Yarrowia lipolytica: one gene and its partner. Each later gene encodes a partner of the first gene's protein in a complex. Links are inferred from orthologs where the notes say so. Each region holds a gene or a part of one and is shown on either strand. Other genes may lie near its edges. The genes, in order: YALI1_B14993g and YALI1_B27485g.

Region 1 (7,162 bases):
AGAGTACCCTGTCTTTGTCGAGACTCAGAAGCCCCTCAAGTTCTATCCAGAAATCTCCACCGAACTATGGGACGAGATTTGTCAACGCCAAGAGGAGGCTACAGGTGTCAGTGCCGAGATTTCCGGTATCAACTTCGACTATGGAGCCACCTCCACTTACTGTGTCCCTATTCATGGACCTGCTGTGGTTCTGAAGTTCGAGACAGTGGTTGAGCTGCTCCTGCTCCTGTTTCTCAATAATAACTAGACACTTGGGTACAAATAGAGACATGTTAGTCAGTCTGCCAGTGTTGCACGCATTGGAAGATGGCAAGAGATATTTATAGTGATTCATAACGTATACATTGTACAGTATGTACTTGTAGCGATTAAATCAATTAATAAATTTCATTTGGTTGTGATAGCTGATATCTCTGAAATTGGTGTGTCCAGATCAGATCAACTCATTGTGCAGTCTGTAGTGCAAGTAACCCCAACGACCTTTAAGAGATAATTACCCTTGATTACTACAGCACAGTGCTTGTCCCCTCGTGATCTTCGGTTCTTTCTTCCCGTTCACTCCTCTTGGATCATATTTTCATTTTAATATACGTAACCAGATGCAGATCTGACCAACTCAAATCCACAGCTGTCTATGGCTAAAAGTACAGCGTCAAGAGATGGAAATCTAGACTGCGATTTTCTGGAGCTGGGCAATGAGCGCTTTGAGCTCCTCGTCGGTGGACTCTTCAGAGGGAGTGATATATCGCTGTGTTAGTTAGGTTTCATATTAGATGCATGACCTGTAAGCGAGCAACAAGCGCCAGGCCAGCAGAAACAAGGAGTGAGATAGTGACCGGTAGTATCCAATGAGCAGTTGACAATATTCTTGAGTATCTGGTCATATACTTCAATGGCCTTTTAGTTATCGTGTCGATTGCTGCGCAGTCACGTATGGATCCTATTGGATCTTTCTGGACACAATACTCACCTTGTTGAGGTAGACGTTGATGTCGACTCGCGACCACTCCTCCAGCGGAGCCTTGGGATCCTCGGAGGTATCAATCTTTGCGTCCTTGACCTTTTTCGAGGGCTTCTTGGTCACCTTAGGTGTGGACTTGTTATCGAGGGAGGCTGTGGGCAGAAACAGGGCTGCGGTTCCTGCAATGACGACGGCTGCAGTAAACACGTAGAAGAAGTTTCGTGAGATGTTAGATCGGCTCATTTTGTGGGTTTGTGTCGGGGGCAGTTGGTGGTCGACAGTGACGATGTACTAATCAATGTACTTAGTAACCAAATTCAAATGGTCGTTATTGGCTACATATACAGAGTTTCCCGTTTGAAAATTCACATGAGTTGGGACTCGTGCAGAGTGTGGCGTATGGTGGCGCGTTAGACATGTCTGCGATGACGTGCTTGCGTGTGGTGTGGTTTGTTCTTGTGCAAGAACTTTTTCCAAAGAGAAGCACAACACATACTCATAGACAAGAACCGCTGTACGTATGTACTGAACCGCTCTGTTCACAAGCTCAGTCAGTCCACTGCGTTTCAATTGCCTGTTTTAAGGCTATCACGAAGACAGTTCGGGTGGGTCGAGTCACATGATACTTTTTTTTTTTTTTGAACGAACCAGTCCATTGTGAAGTTACCGTATGTACTTGTAAGTACGATATGTACTTGTAAGTACGATATGTACTCGTAAGTACGATATACTCATACGTACGTGAATTATCGTATCGCACTTGTGACAGACAATTAACCTTGTGGCGGGCCCACAAGCCGAACCACACGGATATTGAACTCCGCCCGTAAACCTCATACTGTACTAAAATTAGGATCTGAGATCATGCCAATTGGCTATGATAAACGATGACAAAACGGGGCCAATTCTTGGACATTCAGTACACGCTTGAATACCAATATAATGTCTCGTACTTGTACCTCACGGCTGTCAATATGGCAGCTTCTCTTCTTTACTCCGCTTTTCTTTTCCCAATATCTCTTTCTCGTCTGAGACAAAATCGCATGAGCTAAAACACTCCTTGGAACTTCTGTTCAGTCTTCTCCACATGTATTACGTATTGCAAAAGTTCGTTCTAAGAATAGGCCAGTGGAGGAAAATGACAGGTGACAGATACTGCACAGGACTAGAGTCGTTGGGTAGTGAGGCAGCCGAGGTTTAAAATATGAAAATTGCAAATGAAAGCTCCCAACACTCATTTTGACACCCTGTTAATACCGTGTTTTATCATCACCGACTTCACCATCACCTCCTCGTCCCACAAGCTCCCCGCTGATCACTGAAATATAGGGTTGACCTTGTACATCTTTGCCTTGAAAGTTGAACATACAAGTGTGTATTGGAGCGGTTGAACAGGAGATGTAAAGGCCGTTAAAGGCTTCCAAATAAGCACTAATCTTTGGTGAACTCTCCATCTCCTAATACTTCCCAAAATCGTCTTCTTGTATCCTCAATCCATCGGCACAAGCCCCCACCCCTCAACAGAGTTGACATGCATCAGCTTGTCCCCTGCGCTGCAGTATACGTACTCAAAATAGCTACAAGCTATAATAGCCAATATACCAGAACCACCAAACCTCACCACCACCTCCGCTCTAACGACACCTAATGCAACCGGTACGACAAGCGGCAGGCCATGAGGGCGCGTTAGAGGACGAGTCACGTGACATTTTCGTCAAGCGCGCGCTTCCCAAGGAAATTGCATTCTACCAACATGTTCAGGCTGGCGTCTCTCGCATTCCCGAGGGCCTGGATGACGAGGCCTACGAGCAGCATCCGGACGCCCCTACGGCTGACCTTGCCGGCGTGATTCCCGTTTTCATGGGCACACTGATGGAGCATGAGTCGGCGGCGGGCGATGCAGGAGGAGACGGGTCGTCTTTGAGTTACGAGGATATCAAACAGCGATTGAACAAGAATGGACAGGGGATTGAATTAGTGACGGAGTCGTCTACTCAACACAACCTACTTGCATCGTTATCGAAACCAGAGACCCACTCCGTTGGACGGGGCCAGGAAGCTCCGCTACACCCCTCAAATGCCTCCATTGTTCTGGAGAACCTCACCAAGGGGTTCATTAAGCCCTCCGTCGTGGATATCAAGCTAGGAGCCATTCTGTGGGACGATGAGGCGACCCCGGAGAAGCAGGAGCGAATGAGAAAAGTCAGCGAAACTACAACGTCAGGGTCTTTGCATATGAGAGTGGCCGGAATGCAGATATATGCTGGAAAAGAGGCTGCTAAGGAGCCTGGAGATCCGGAAAGAGGCATTGTGCCATCTGACTCGGGATACATTGAGTATGGCAAAAAGTACGGTCGGTCATTGACAGATGGGGACATATCGTCATGTCTCAACAAGAACATGTTCCCTGTCAGCCATCTTGGCTACGACCGTGCCTCGGCACTTATCTCCGTCATCATTCAGGAATTGCTTTACATTCGACGGGTCTTCCGCCGCATTGAAATGCGAATGCATTCGGCTTCTGTTCTAATCATCTACGAGTCTGACTTGCAGGCGTTTGATGACCGGCTTAATAATCAAGGAGAGGAAGAGGTTGGACCTCTGTACCAGGCTAAGATTGTAGACTTTGCACACACATCGCTTACGCCTGGAAGAGGTCCCGATCTGGACTCCATCGAGGGTCTCTCCAAGCTCATTTCTATCATGAAGGGATGGGAAATGTAAGTGTTGCCCAAAATAACTATACTAATGCATTATTATAGCATCGACTTGAAAAGGTACAGGGTTCTGGGCGATTGTGTGATGTATGGAGGCACCGAGATGAATGAGAGGCCAATGGTCACAGTCACACTGGCACCCATAGCTGACGTTGGAACGCGTGACCAACTTAGAACAATTACCCAAAAAAATGATGGGAAAATCCGTAAGGTTGCTTCAGAGTCTGTAAAGTATTAATATTATCAAACAGGAAATACAAGTAAGTACTGTATGTACCGTACATGTACTTGTAGCCAAACTCGACCTCCACTCAGCGTTCTCGCTTGTTACCCTACACACAGAACTCTATGCGCATCAAACCTGCAAGCTCGTATTAATCATTAGACGAGCTCTGGTTTTCAACAATACTCCCCCAAAATGGCTGTGAGTATTAGCACTACAAAGCAGTGTCGACACGCGGAAACTAACCCAGCAAACCCTCACTAGCATCAAGGACTTTCTGGCCACCTGCAGCCGGGATGACGTCGAGAGCGTCACCGTCAAGTACTCGGCTAACGACACCAAATTCAAGATCCGATGCCCTCGAATGCTCTATACTCTGACCGTTGATGATCGGACCAAGGCCGACAAGATTGTCCAGTCCCTGCCTTCTTCTATCAAGATCATCAAGATCGGTAAGTAAGAGGTTCCGCCGCTCATTTGATAATTAATTCAGCATTTTCCATCCATTATCCAGAGGAGGCGGTGGCAGGTTGCGGTATCTGATGGGGTACCGGTATGTACAGCATGTATTGTGCATTGTATACTACACCAAAATCAAATCAATGGAAGTGATCTACTCGTGGTAGCTAAAGTGTCTGTGCACAGGTACTGTAGCTGTGCTGACTTCCTCAGCAAGGAGGAGAACCTGGATGTGTGTTTGCATGCTCAGTACAGTAGAAGTAGTTAACAGTTCTGCATCCCCCAGTGGTCTCCTATGCATTATGCATCAACAGTACAAGTAATTGGATCTAATTCAAGCAACAGAATGAATGTGACTTGTTCTCTTGTCACCGTAGCTATTGATGCTTTTGAAGAATACAACACCTATGAACGCACAGTATTGTAATACGTAGAGCTCCCAAACAGTCACACAATTGGCAGCCTTCTCACCCCACAACTTTTAATCAATTAATCCACAAACAAAAACACTTTTATTATGCTGTAGTCGCTATCACCTTCAGCTCTATCTATCTATCGCAGTTGCTAGCTTACAACTTGATGTACTGCTCAACCTCCTTCTTAGAGCAAACGTACAGGGTCTCACAATCGCTGTTGAAACCGTTGAAGGTGGTGGAGGCTGCCACGGTGTAGGCACCAAAGGAAGTGAAGTACATCCAGTCACCGACATCGAGAAGAACAGGTAGCTGGCACGACTTAGAAATGCAGTCGATACCGTCGCAGGTGGGGCCCCACACAGAAACGTCTTGCGAGGACTTCTGCTTCTGGTATCGCTCACCGTACATGAACTTGCCCTGGTAGGTCAGAACCTTGGGCACGGGCTCCTGGTGGTCAAACAGAATGCAGTTCATGTTTCCGTAGACACCGTCGTTGAGGTAGAGCATGGCCTTGTTCTGGTTCTCAATGATTCGTCGAGCAATCACATGAGAGGCAATGGTGAAGGCCTCGGACACAAAGAACCGGCCGGGCTCAGCCATGAGGTTAACTCCGCTCTCCTCTGGGAAGTACTTGTCAAGAGCGTCCCCCAGAACGGCAGCAGAGGACTCAAAGGAATCGTCCGAGAAGCCTCCGCCGACATCCAGAGTGTTGAGGTGCATGCCAATGGCAGCTCCCTGGTCAAACACCCGCTTAGCGTTTCGCACAGCGTCCAGGAAGGCGTTGGGGTCTCCAGCGCCGGATCCCACATGGAAAGACACACCGGCCACGTTCAGACCGAGATCCTTAGCAAGCTGGAGCAGCGACTGGGTGTTCTCCAGAGCAGCGCCGTACTTGACAGAAAACTGACACAGAGACTGGGAGTCGTCGGTGACAATTCGGAGGAACAGCTTGGCGGTAGGGTGGTACTTTGCACACTTGTAGAGCTCCTCGGCGTTGTCAAACACCATCTTCTCCACGCCCACAGAGGAGGCGTATCGAATGTAGGACGCCACCTTGCAGGGATGCGCGTAGATGATTCGGTCCTGGGAGACACCGAGGTCCAGAATTGTCTGGATCTCGTTTCGGGAGGCGCAGTCGAAACCGGTGCCGAGGGCTGCGAGAAGCTGGAGAACCTTGGGGTCACCGTTACACTTCATGGCGTAGAAGGGGGTGACTCGGGGAAGGCAGTTACTCCATCGCATGAACTGCGAGTAGACGATTCCGAGGTCAGCCACGAAGAAGGAGTCTTCGGATCCAGGAGAGCAGGTCTCGAGATCGATAGCCTCGATTCGGGTCTTCATGGCGTTAGCAATGAGCTTCTCGGACTCAGAGAGGCCTTGGTCAATAGAAGCAGAGACCTCATCCACAAAAGAAGCAGGGTAGCTCAGAGTGGGGCACGGTCGTGTGCCGAGAAAGGATGAGTCGGCCTGGACGGGCTCGGGGCCAAGGATGTGAGGGGCCATCACTGTTTGCGTAACTTGGGGGAAGTTAGAACTTGAGGGGGTTACTTATGGTAAGTAAAATAGACCTGTCGAGAGCCGACAAATCTGTCTTGGAAATCACCGCAAAATGACGATTGTTTTGTGTGCGTAGCGCAGTGGCCGTAGACTCTGTTTTGTTGAGAAAAATAGAGGCAACGGTACTCGTACTTATAGTGGTAAGCGTGAGTGTGTTTTGGGGTGAAGTCAAGATAAGTTGCGAAAAGAAACTGCTGACAGCGCTGTATGTGTACAATTTGGGGTATGACTCGCCCTCTGACACTTTTTAGAACTCTAACCCTATCTGCAATCATTTTTTTTATTGCCCTCCCAGAGCAAACTCAACCTCCATTTTGCTTTGAGGTCCTATTAGCCATATGAGTGGCCCTTGCTGTTACACGGTTGGGTGAGACACAGCCCAGGTTGCGGTTTCAACTGTGGCTGTGAAGGGCTATAGTAGTGCTATCATGACGAAAGTAGCTTTAAAGTATTGCACGAGCTGAGAGGAGTAGGATGGTATGCTTTTTATCTCTCAACTTTCAACTTCTTCCTACTCGGAATTCGTTCTAAAATCTTCCATATAATTATTTTCGCGACTTCCACTTGCCATTACAGTTTGGGAGCACCTTTTTTGAACTTGTCCAGGTAAATGAATAATGGTCGTTGAAGTACGGGACTAGTTTGACCTATCTGCCTCGGTGGTGGAATTCGATCAACATTATCCTTGTATCTCTAGCACCAATAATAGGCAAGATAATCGCCAATATCACGCCCTGTACGGAGCATTCTCACGGTTTAGCTTCCAAGGGTCAATCAACAAGCATGTTTACTTAGATTGTAAGATGGCAAGTCCAAGAGCGGAATGAAG
Region 2 (7,742 bases), about 1.2 Mb from region 1:
GTACTGGGGGTTTCTAGCCTCATTTTTCGCAAGCAGCATAGAAAACGACGGCCCGTACTCGGCTGTGTGTTGGGCAGTGGTGTGGATGACCTCGTGATCCACTGCCGACATTGGTGGAAGCACTGTGTGGAACTCGAAGGCAGGTGGTTCTATTAGATGATCAGACGTGTCTTTGGGCTTGAGCTGAGCTGTATTAGCGTCTGTCTCGCGTGTTCGTCCGCTGGCGTACTCGTCACATCGCCACTGGTAGTATAGATGATAATGGTCGTCATTATTGAGGAAGGAGAAGAGGGCGTTGGATCCTTCCTTTTCCCGGATCCGGTGCTCGAATGCAATACCATTTTTGGCGACAAACTCGGCTGTCCGCTCGATCTTGGCCTTGATCTCCGGTGGCGGAATAATGATGCCTTCCGGGGGGTTCATGTTGGATGCTGACAGTATGGTGATGGAGGTTTGCAACGATTATGCATATTAAAATATGCACAGCCAGATGCAATGGCAGCAGCGAGGCAGCTTAGAGAGTGGTAATATCGCTGTATAAAAAAGAGAAGGAATTTATGTAAGTGTTATTCTATAAAAACACATGACTCGAAAGAAGAAAAAAAAAAACAAACACCACCCAGACACATTCCTGCAACATACATATACTGCTCTCCATTTCTGTGACTGTTAAAACGTCTCTTAAAACAACAGGCTTATTTGGGTTACCAAAACCCCGTCAGTTTGAGCATGTCCCAACATTAAAATCCGGTTCTAAACCTCAGCTCCCAGAGTGCATGGAGCTACAGTACATACCTGATACTGGATAACCGAAACAGACTTGTCTCTGGACTACACAGCTTGCCCAACACGACACAAGACAGGGAAGGAAAACGTGCCGAGTATATATACACACAGCACACAGCCAGCTCGCGCAACCTTGCAAGATTAACAGCACACAACGCTATAACGAACTCAAGACAAAACATCACAAGAACAACCACACCCCTGCATCAGTTTCCTCAACCTGCTATGAAGCTACTGGTGTGCCTGGAAAACAGCGGGTTACTCAAAGAAGTCAAGGTCAGTCTCGCCACGGGTGACCACAAGGTACGTGACGTGGGGTTCAGTGAAGGTAGCGCGGTGCACGTATCCAAGGTGATTTACGACCAGAGACAGTACGTTGCTCTCGGGCGGAGGGATGGAAGTGTGGAGGTGCTGGACGTGGAGATGGGCACACCGAGAAGGCTTTACCCTGCCCACAGAGAGGTATTTCACCCCTCAGAGCTGTTCGCGTCCATTGATTATGCACACAATCTGCTCTATACATGCACCACTGGAGGCATGGTGACGGTGAGGGAATGCAAGCTGGACCAGACACAGACGAGCGACGAACTGCTCAGCACACATCACCTGGGCGATGCAGTGTCTGTGTTACGCCCCCACCCTACTCAGCGAGGAGTAGTCGCTTTTGGAGGACCACAGAGAGTTCTGGAGGTGGCCATCATCCGGACCAACCGCAGGAACCTGTGGCGATCGAGCAAGGAAGAGTACATTTGGATTTCAGACGTGAGATTCACTAATGTGCGTGGGACAAGCGATAATGCCGAGCCAGGCTACTCGTTGGTGGCGGTGTCACGATATGGAGACGCCTACATTTACCAGACAAATGTTTCTGCCCGGCCGGTCCGGAAAATCCAGGTTGGCGACTATCCACTCACACATCTCCACATGAACCACTCGTTAGGCGGAGACGCCTTCTACGTGGCCAACTCGCAGAACCAGGTGTCGTTGGTGGATTATGACGGCCAGGTGCGTCACAAGGTGTGTATGCCTGAAGGGAGTGTTTTTCTGGCAGATTTCTTTAGTCCAGCAACGCGCCAGGACCCCCGAGTGCCTCAGACAGAGCCCATTCCGTCCACATCCATTTCCCGAGGGGATAATCTGCAAAGTGCGCTGTGGGGCGAGTTGCTGATGCGAAGAAGACAGCATACTCGACAGCAACAACTTCAGAACCAGAACCAGAGTACGGAACCGGATCCTGATGCAGACAACACAGACCACTACGTGCTCAACGATGATACCCATTCCGATGAAGCCCCTCGACGGCCTCCGTTCGATAGACGGTACTTTGAGCGAGTATTAGGATTATCGCGTCCTCGTATCCAGATAACTACAGGAGGAGAAGATCGAGCACGCCGGGAAGCGTCACGTGAACTGAGACGCGAAGAGCGGCGTCTCAGAATGATCCGAGCAGCCCCAGGAAATCTGTCATACTCTTCGTTCGGGCAGGGTCCTCTTGTAAGACGACACCAGAGATGGTCTCCTCTTACTCTTGCCCGTGATCTACAGACGATTAGACGACCAGAGACAGCTTCAGGGCAAGCCTGGACTCGTGACACGGACGATTTGATCGCCAATCCCTCTGCTTCGTTGCGTGCTTCTCGGGACTCTGATTTCTTCCGAGAGCTGTGGTGCGATGACGATGAGCAGTCTCTCATGTACTTCAACACCCTCTCCAGCGTCCATTTACCTAATGAGGGCGAGGAAGAGGAGGAAGAAGAAGACGAAGACGAAGAAGAGCTGACGGTTCGTGAGAGTGATACGGAAGAGTTGTTTGCACCAGGCATTCTGGGCGGCTCCTCAGAGATTGTGGACAGATTCATGCCTCCTCATCTACAGACTAGCCGTACCACAGCTCCTCTTCAGCCCTCTATGGGTCGGTTTGTAGGGGGGGTTCAGTATGAGTCCCGGGCCTCGGGTCTGGATCTGACCGTGGTTGCTGGTCTTGATCGTCATGTGCGAGTGTTTGACATTTCGCAGCCGTCTATCGCGTCTCGAGGCCGTCTGCTCTTTGATATTGCGTTCGAGTCTCGAATCACTTCGGTAGCCATTCTGGAGGTCAGTGAGGAGGACATTTGTGAAAAGACCAAGCGTGCCGCAAGTCCAGTTTCCCGCGATACCAAGAGGCAGCGGGTTTAGCTCCGTTGTATATTTATAGCTAACATATTTTAATAATGAGAGTCATACTGTAGTGAGGTGTGCGTGTGGTGTGCTCGTATACTACAGTACATACTTGTAATATAACGTGTGTTTTTTATTTTAATTTTATATTTTTTATAATTAGATATTACTGTATATGGGGCTTATTTAACGGGTCAACTAATATAGTTAGATTTAGTTTATAACTCAAATTGGGTCTATTTGAAGGTGTAGTTGAGGTCGTACTTTGATTCCAATAACTGAACAACTAAAACAGCTTCCGATTACTCTGGTCTGAAATTGAAAATCTCAGCCATTCGAGATTGCTCTTGATAGTTGCATACCCCTCATTCTGTCAGCTGAGACCTGTTGGTCTCATCTAATGTTTCTGTAACGTTATAGATTAAGGTTATATCACATGATTTATCCCAAAAGGAAAACACAGTCACATCCCGATTGGGATGTGAAAACTCTACCGTCGCTGGGTGGTCCCAAATAACCAAAAATATCTGCACGTCTCAACTTCTTCACTGAACAACACATATCGCCATGCCTACCAGATTCAGCAAGACCCGAAAGCACAGAGGCCACGTTTCCGGTAAGTATTGAGAAACGAAACTAGTGCGAATGGTGTGGCGATATCGACTGGCATAATTAAAGCAGTTGATATCAAATATCCTGCTGGGTACAGAGGTTGGAGGAGGAGGAAAGAGACTGATTGTCGGGAAGGGATGTACAAACATTCTTTTTGGACAAGAAGGTCTGAGATGCAGAGCGAGCGTCATGGCTATCATAACTCGTTATTTATGCACACATTTATCAGCATCAGACGGATTGTATGACTCCATCCAACCACCTGTACTTGGCAGGAAACCACATCCTTCAAGCACTTTTGCAGATACCCTTTTGCGCAGAGAAACACATTACTAACATACAGCCGGTTACGGTCGAATCGGTAAGCACCGAAAGTCCCCTGGTGGACGAGGTATGGCTGGTGGTCAGCACCACCACCGAACTAACATGGATAAGTACCATCCTGGTTACTTCGGTAAGGTCGGTATGCGATACTTCCACAAGCAGCCTAACCACTTCTGGAAGCCCGTCGTCAACGTCGAGAACCTGTGGGCCCTTGTTCCCGCTGAGAACCGAGACAAGTACCTCTCTTCTGCCTCCGAGTCCGCTGCCCCCGTCATCGACACTCTCGCTCACGGTTACGGCAAGGTCCTCGGTAAGGGTAAGCTCCCCAACGTCCCTGTCATCGTCAAGGCTCGATTCGTCTCCGAGATCGCTGAGAAGAAGATCAAGGCCGCTGGTGGTGTCGTTGAGCTCATTGCCTAAGCAACCCACTTGTTTGTAAAATAAGTACCCAAAAAATGTATTTCGCATAATTTATTGTGACAGAGTTAAATCTAGCGTATGAGTAAGATCGTAAGACAAATCAGGCGGCTCTTACTGTAACTTGCAGTAGAATTCTCAGAGGCAAATGTTTCCGATTATGCAGCAGAGAGTCGTCCGTTTTTATAGCCCACAAGTACAGTAGGTAGGTACTGTAGATTGATTTTGTTGTGACATACTTTGAAGCTCAACGTTTTCCATTCCAGCTCTTGTTGGCACAAAACTGGAACCACGTACAATGCGTACGGTATATAAAAATAGAGGCAAGCGCTTTCACAGAGACATCGTCGATGTTGCTTGATATCCTTCAAAATTGCTGTCCAAGAGAAGTTTGCTTACTTGAGCGAGTTGTAAACTTCCGCAACACTACTGTAGAAGTAAGCATTTCCGATACCTGGTACCAAGCCATTATGAACAGAGCATCTTGTGTGTGAAATACGCCAACCAATAGGATATGACTAATGTTGTTGAATAATGGTTTTTTTTGACAGAGTCACCCTTTTTCGCTTCTTTTGTCCACTTGTTCTGTAAAAACCACACCACTTGCAATGTATCGTATGTACTGTAAGTACATGCTATATACCCGTGGTCTGATTATCTACATGCATGATCTGGTATTAAAATTCAAGTCTCTTTTTTTCCAGAAAAAATAATCCTTCGATACAACAAACGCAGTACCCGTCATGACCGACACCAAACGAGCTCCCGAGGAAACCGGTCTGCCCGACGCCAAGCGTGCTCACATTGACGACGTTGAAAAATGCTTCCACAAGGGACTGCTTGACCAGACCTCTCAGGATGAGCTCAAGACACAGATTGCTGAGTCGGGACCCTACAAGCACGGAGTTATCCCCCAGCTGATTGACGATGAGCTGTTGAGAAGCGTGCGAAAGGAAATCATGGAAGGAGTACATTTCACCCGAAAGGAAACCGATATCTACAAGGTGTTTCAGACCGGAGACCTGGCCAACCTATCTGGTCTCAGCGAAGAGGAGCTGGGTACCTTGCCCTCGCTCTTCAAGCTCCGAAATGCCATGTACTCTCGAGAGTTCCGTCACTTCATGTCCTACATCACCGGAGCCGGTCATCTGTCTGGTTCGAAGCAGGATATGAGCATTAACGTTTACCAGAAGAGCTGCCACTTGCTCAACCACGATGATGTCATTGGTACCCGACGAATCTCGTACATTCTTTACTTGCCTGATCCCGACGAGCCATGGAACCCTCGATGGGGAGGAGCTCTTCGACTGTTCCCCACTATTCGACCCAATGTGCCTGCTTCCGACTGGACCGTTTCTATTCCCCCTGCTTGGAACCAGATGGCTCTATTCAAGATCCAGCCCGGTCTCTCGTTCCACGATGTCGAGGAGGTGTACGTTGATAAGCCCCGAATGAGTATTTCTGGCTGGTTCCATATTCCCGATGTTGGAGAGGAGGGATATATTGAGGGCGAGAAGGAGGAAACGGAAGCCCTGTCTTCTCTGAAGCAATTGACCAGCAAGAGTCTTCGAGAACACGACTTCCCCAAACGAACTCCCGGTCAGGTTCCCGAGGACGAGTTTGCTCATCTCAAGGAGGGTCCCAAGGACGATGACGATCTGTTTCTGTCTGACGACGACGTCAAGTACCTCAGCAAGTACCTCAATCCGCATCTGCTGACAATCAAGACCGTCAAGCAGCTCAACGATTTGTTTTGCACCAACTCGCAGCTCGAGATCAAGGATTTCCTCAACAGCGAGTACGTGGGTGTTCTGAAGAAAACAATTGATGCCGAGGACTCTAGACCTCCCAAGGAGATGCCCCAGGTGTCTGAGGAGATTGTACTACCCTGGAAGCTCGCTCGACCTCCTCACAAGGCCCGATACATGTACCTGGATGGCTCTGAGGAGGCCGATAAGGAGCCTGAGGTCGGAGAAGAAGAGGTTACAGTTCGGCCTGACGAGAATGGAGGCTTCGAATACTCTGAAACGATTCTCTCTGGACTCAAGGACACTGACAAAGCAGCTACTTCCAAGGTTTCGGAGGTTGCTGCCCTGTTCAAATCTTCAGCTCTGCGACGATGGATCTCGCGGATTTCTTCTCTGGCTCTAAAGTCCGAGAACATCATTGCTCGACGATTCCGACCTGGCTTTGACTTCACTCTGGCCACTGCCCAAGACGAGTCTGACATTGCTCTAGAAGCCACTTTGTGCCTGACCCCCACTAAGGGCTGGGAAGACGGCGAGTATGGTGGATACGAGCTGTGTATGGCTGTTGACGAAGATGCCGATGACGACCCGGCTGTATACCGAGGAGCCAAAGCCAAAGAGGCTGGTGAAGGAGAGGGCGATGAGGAAGATGAGGATGAAGATGAAGACGATCCCGTTCTTCTGACCTCCCAGGCCTCGTGGAACACCCTCAACATCTTTGTCCGAGACAAGGGCATTCTCAAGTTTGTCAAGTACGTGTCTAAGAACGCTCCTGGTTCTCGATGGGACATTTCTGCCGAGTGGCAGGTGGAGTACGTTGGAGATGATGAAGAGGAAGAGGACGAGCATGAAGAGTAGGGCTCAGAGGAAAAGGAGTACGAATAACTATAGATGTAATATAATGATTAATGTTCATTTGAATGGACAATGACCTTTATGTGTCTGTACCACTATGTGTCGCCAAATGAGAAGCCATACAGCCAGCTACATAGTACGATACCTGTACTAGTATTGTATGTACAGTACAGTAGCTACTGAATCGTACAGCGTACGCATTCATATGAAGGTATAGCAGAAGTATTGCTTTGCAATTTCAGACTTGTCTACACACTGCTAAGATCGCCCATAGCCGTTGAACTTATATATCTTCCCTGGTGTTCCATGCTTCCACAATGTAAGTCTTCGAGTGAATCGTGCATGACAATAAAATCGCGATATGTACACGTAGCGACGAGTTATTGGCTGGGTCGCTGAAGTATCAGACATGCCAATCCATTGGTCACGTGGATTCCCACTACAAGTATGTAACTATTGTACACAACTAATTAGGCTACTACTTCATCTAACATAACTCATCAAACACTTTTCATTATTTTTGTTGTCATCTAATTATCCCTCCTTAGTTAATGGCAGCCTCTCGAGACTCCCGGTACTTGGTCTCCTGGGTGGTCTGAAGCTCCTCGACTTCAGGAAGCAGGTCCTTGAGAGTCTCGTAGGCGAGCTTGTGGTAGGCCAACTGTGCGGACACGAGCTCAACCAGGTTTCGCAGGGGCTCGGGAGTGTCCAGAGCGTTCTTCATGACACCAACAGCCTCCTCAGTTGCAGCGACAAACTCGTCCTCAGCCTGCTCGACCTCAGCTCGAGCGGCTCCCTGCTGCTCAGGCTTGGCTGCCTTGGCGGAGGCCTTGACGGCGTCCA

Evidence for each region.
Region 2: YALI1_B14993g (region 1) and YALI1_B27485g share a complex: the UniProt entries of both Saccharomyces cerevisiae proteins name them as parts of the large ribosomal subunit. The link is inferred for Yarrowia lipolytica from reciprocal best matches to the Saccharomyces cerevisiae genes RPL38 and RPL28.

What each region holds. Positions count from the first base shown.
Region 1 is NC_090771.1:1,495,230-1,502,391, forward strand, and holds YALI1_B14993g (60S ribosomal protein eL38), read left to right. Parts: upstream 1-4,096; coding exon 4,097-4,102; intron 4,103-4,151; coding exon 4,152-4,361; downstream 4,362-7,162. Other genes in the region: YALI1_B14948g (uncharacterized protein), read left to right, coding at 1-247; YALI1_B14959g (uncharacterized protein), read right to left, coding at 668-748, 971-1,204; YALI1_B14978g (uncharacterized protein), read left to right, coding at 2,609-3,685; YALI1_B15015g (uncharacterized protein), read right to left, coding at 4,930-6,279. UniProt on the Saccharomyces cerevisiae protein: Component of the ribosome, a large ribonucleoprotein complex responsible for the synthesis of proteins in the cell.
Region 2 is NC_090771.1:2,745,021-2,752,762, forward strand, and holds YALI1_B27485g (60S ribosomal protein uL15), read left to right. Parts: upstream 1-3,510; coding exon 3,511-3,559; intron 3,560-3,898; coding exon 3,899-4,299; downstream 4,300-7,742. Other genes in the region: YALI1_B27454g (uncharacterized protein), read right to left, coding at 1-423; YALI1_B27460g (uncharacterized protein), read left to right, coding at 1,012-2,961; YALI1_B27500g (uncharacterized protein), read left to right, coding at 5,040-6,902; YALI1_B27534g (uncharacterized protein), read right to left, coding at 7,444-7,742. UniProt on the Saccharomyces cerevisiae protein: Component of the ribosome, a large ribonucleoprotein complex responsible for the synthesis of proteins in the cell.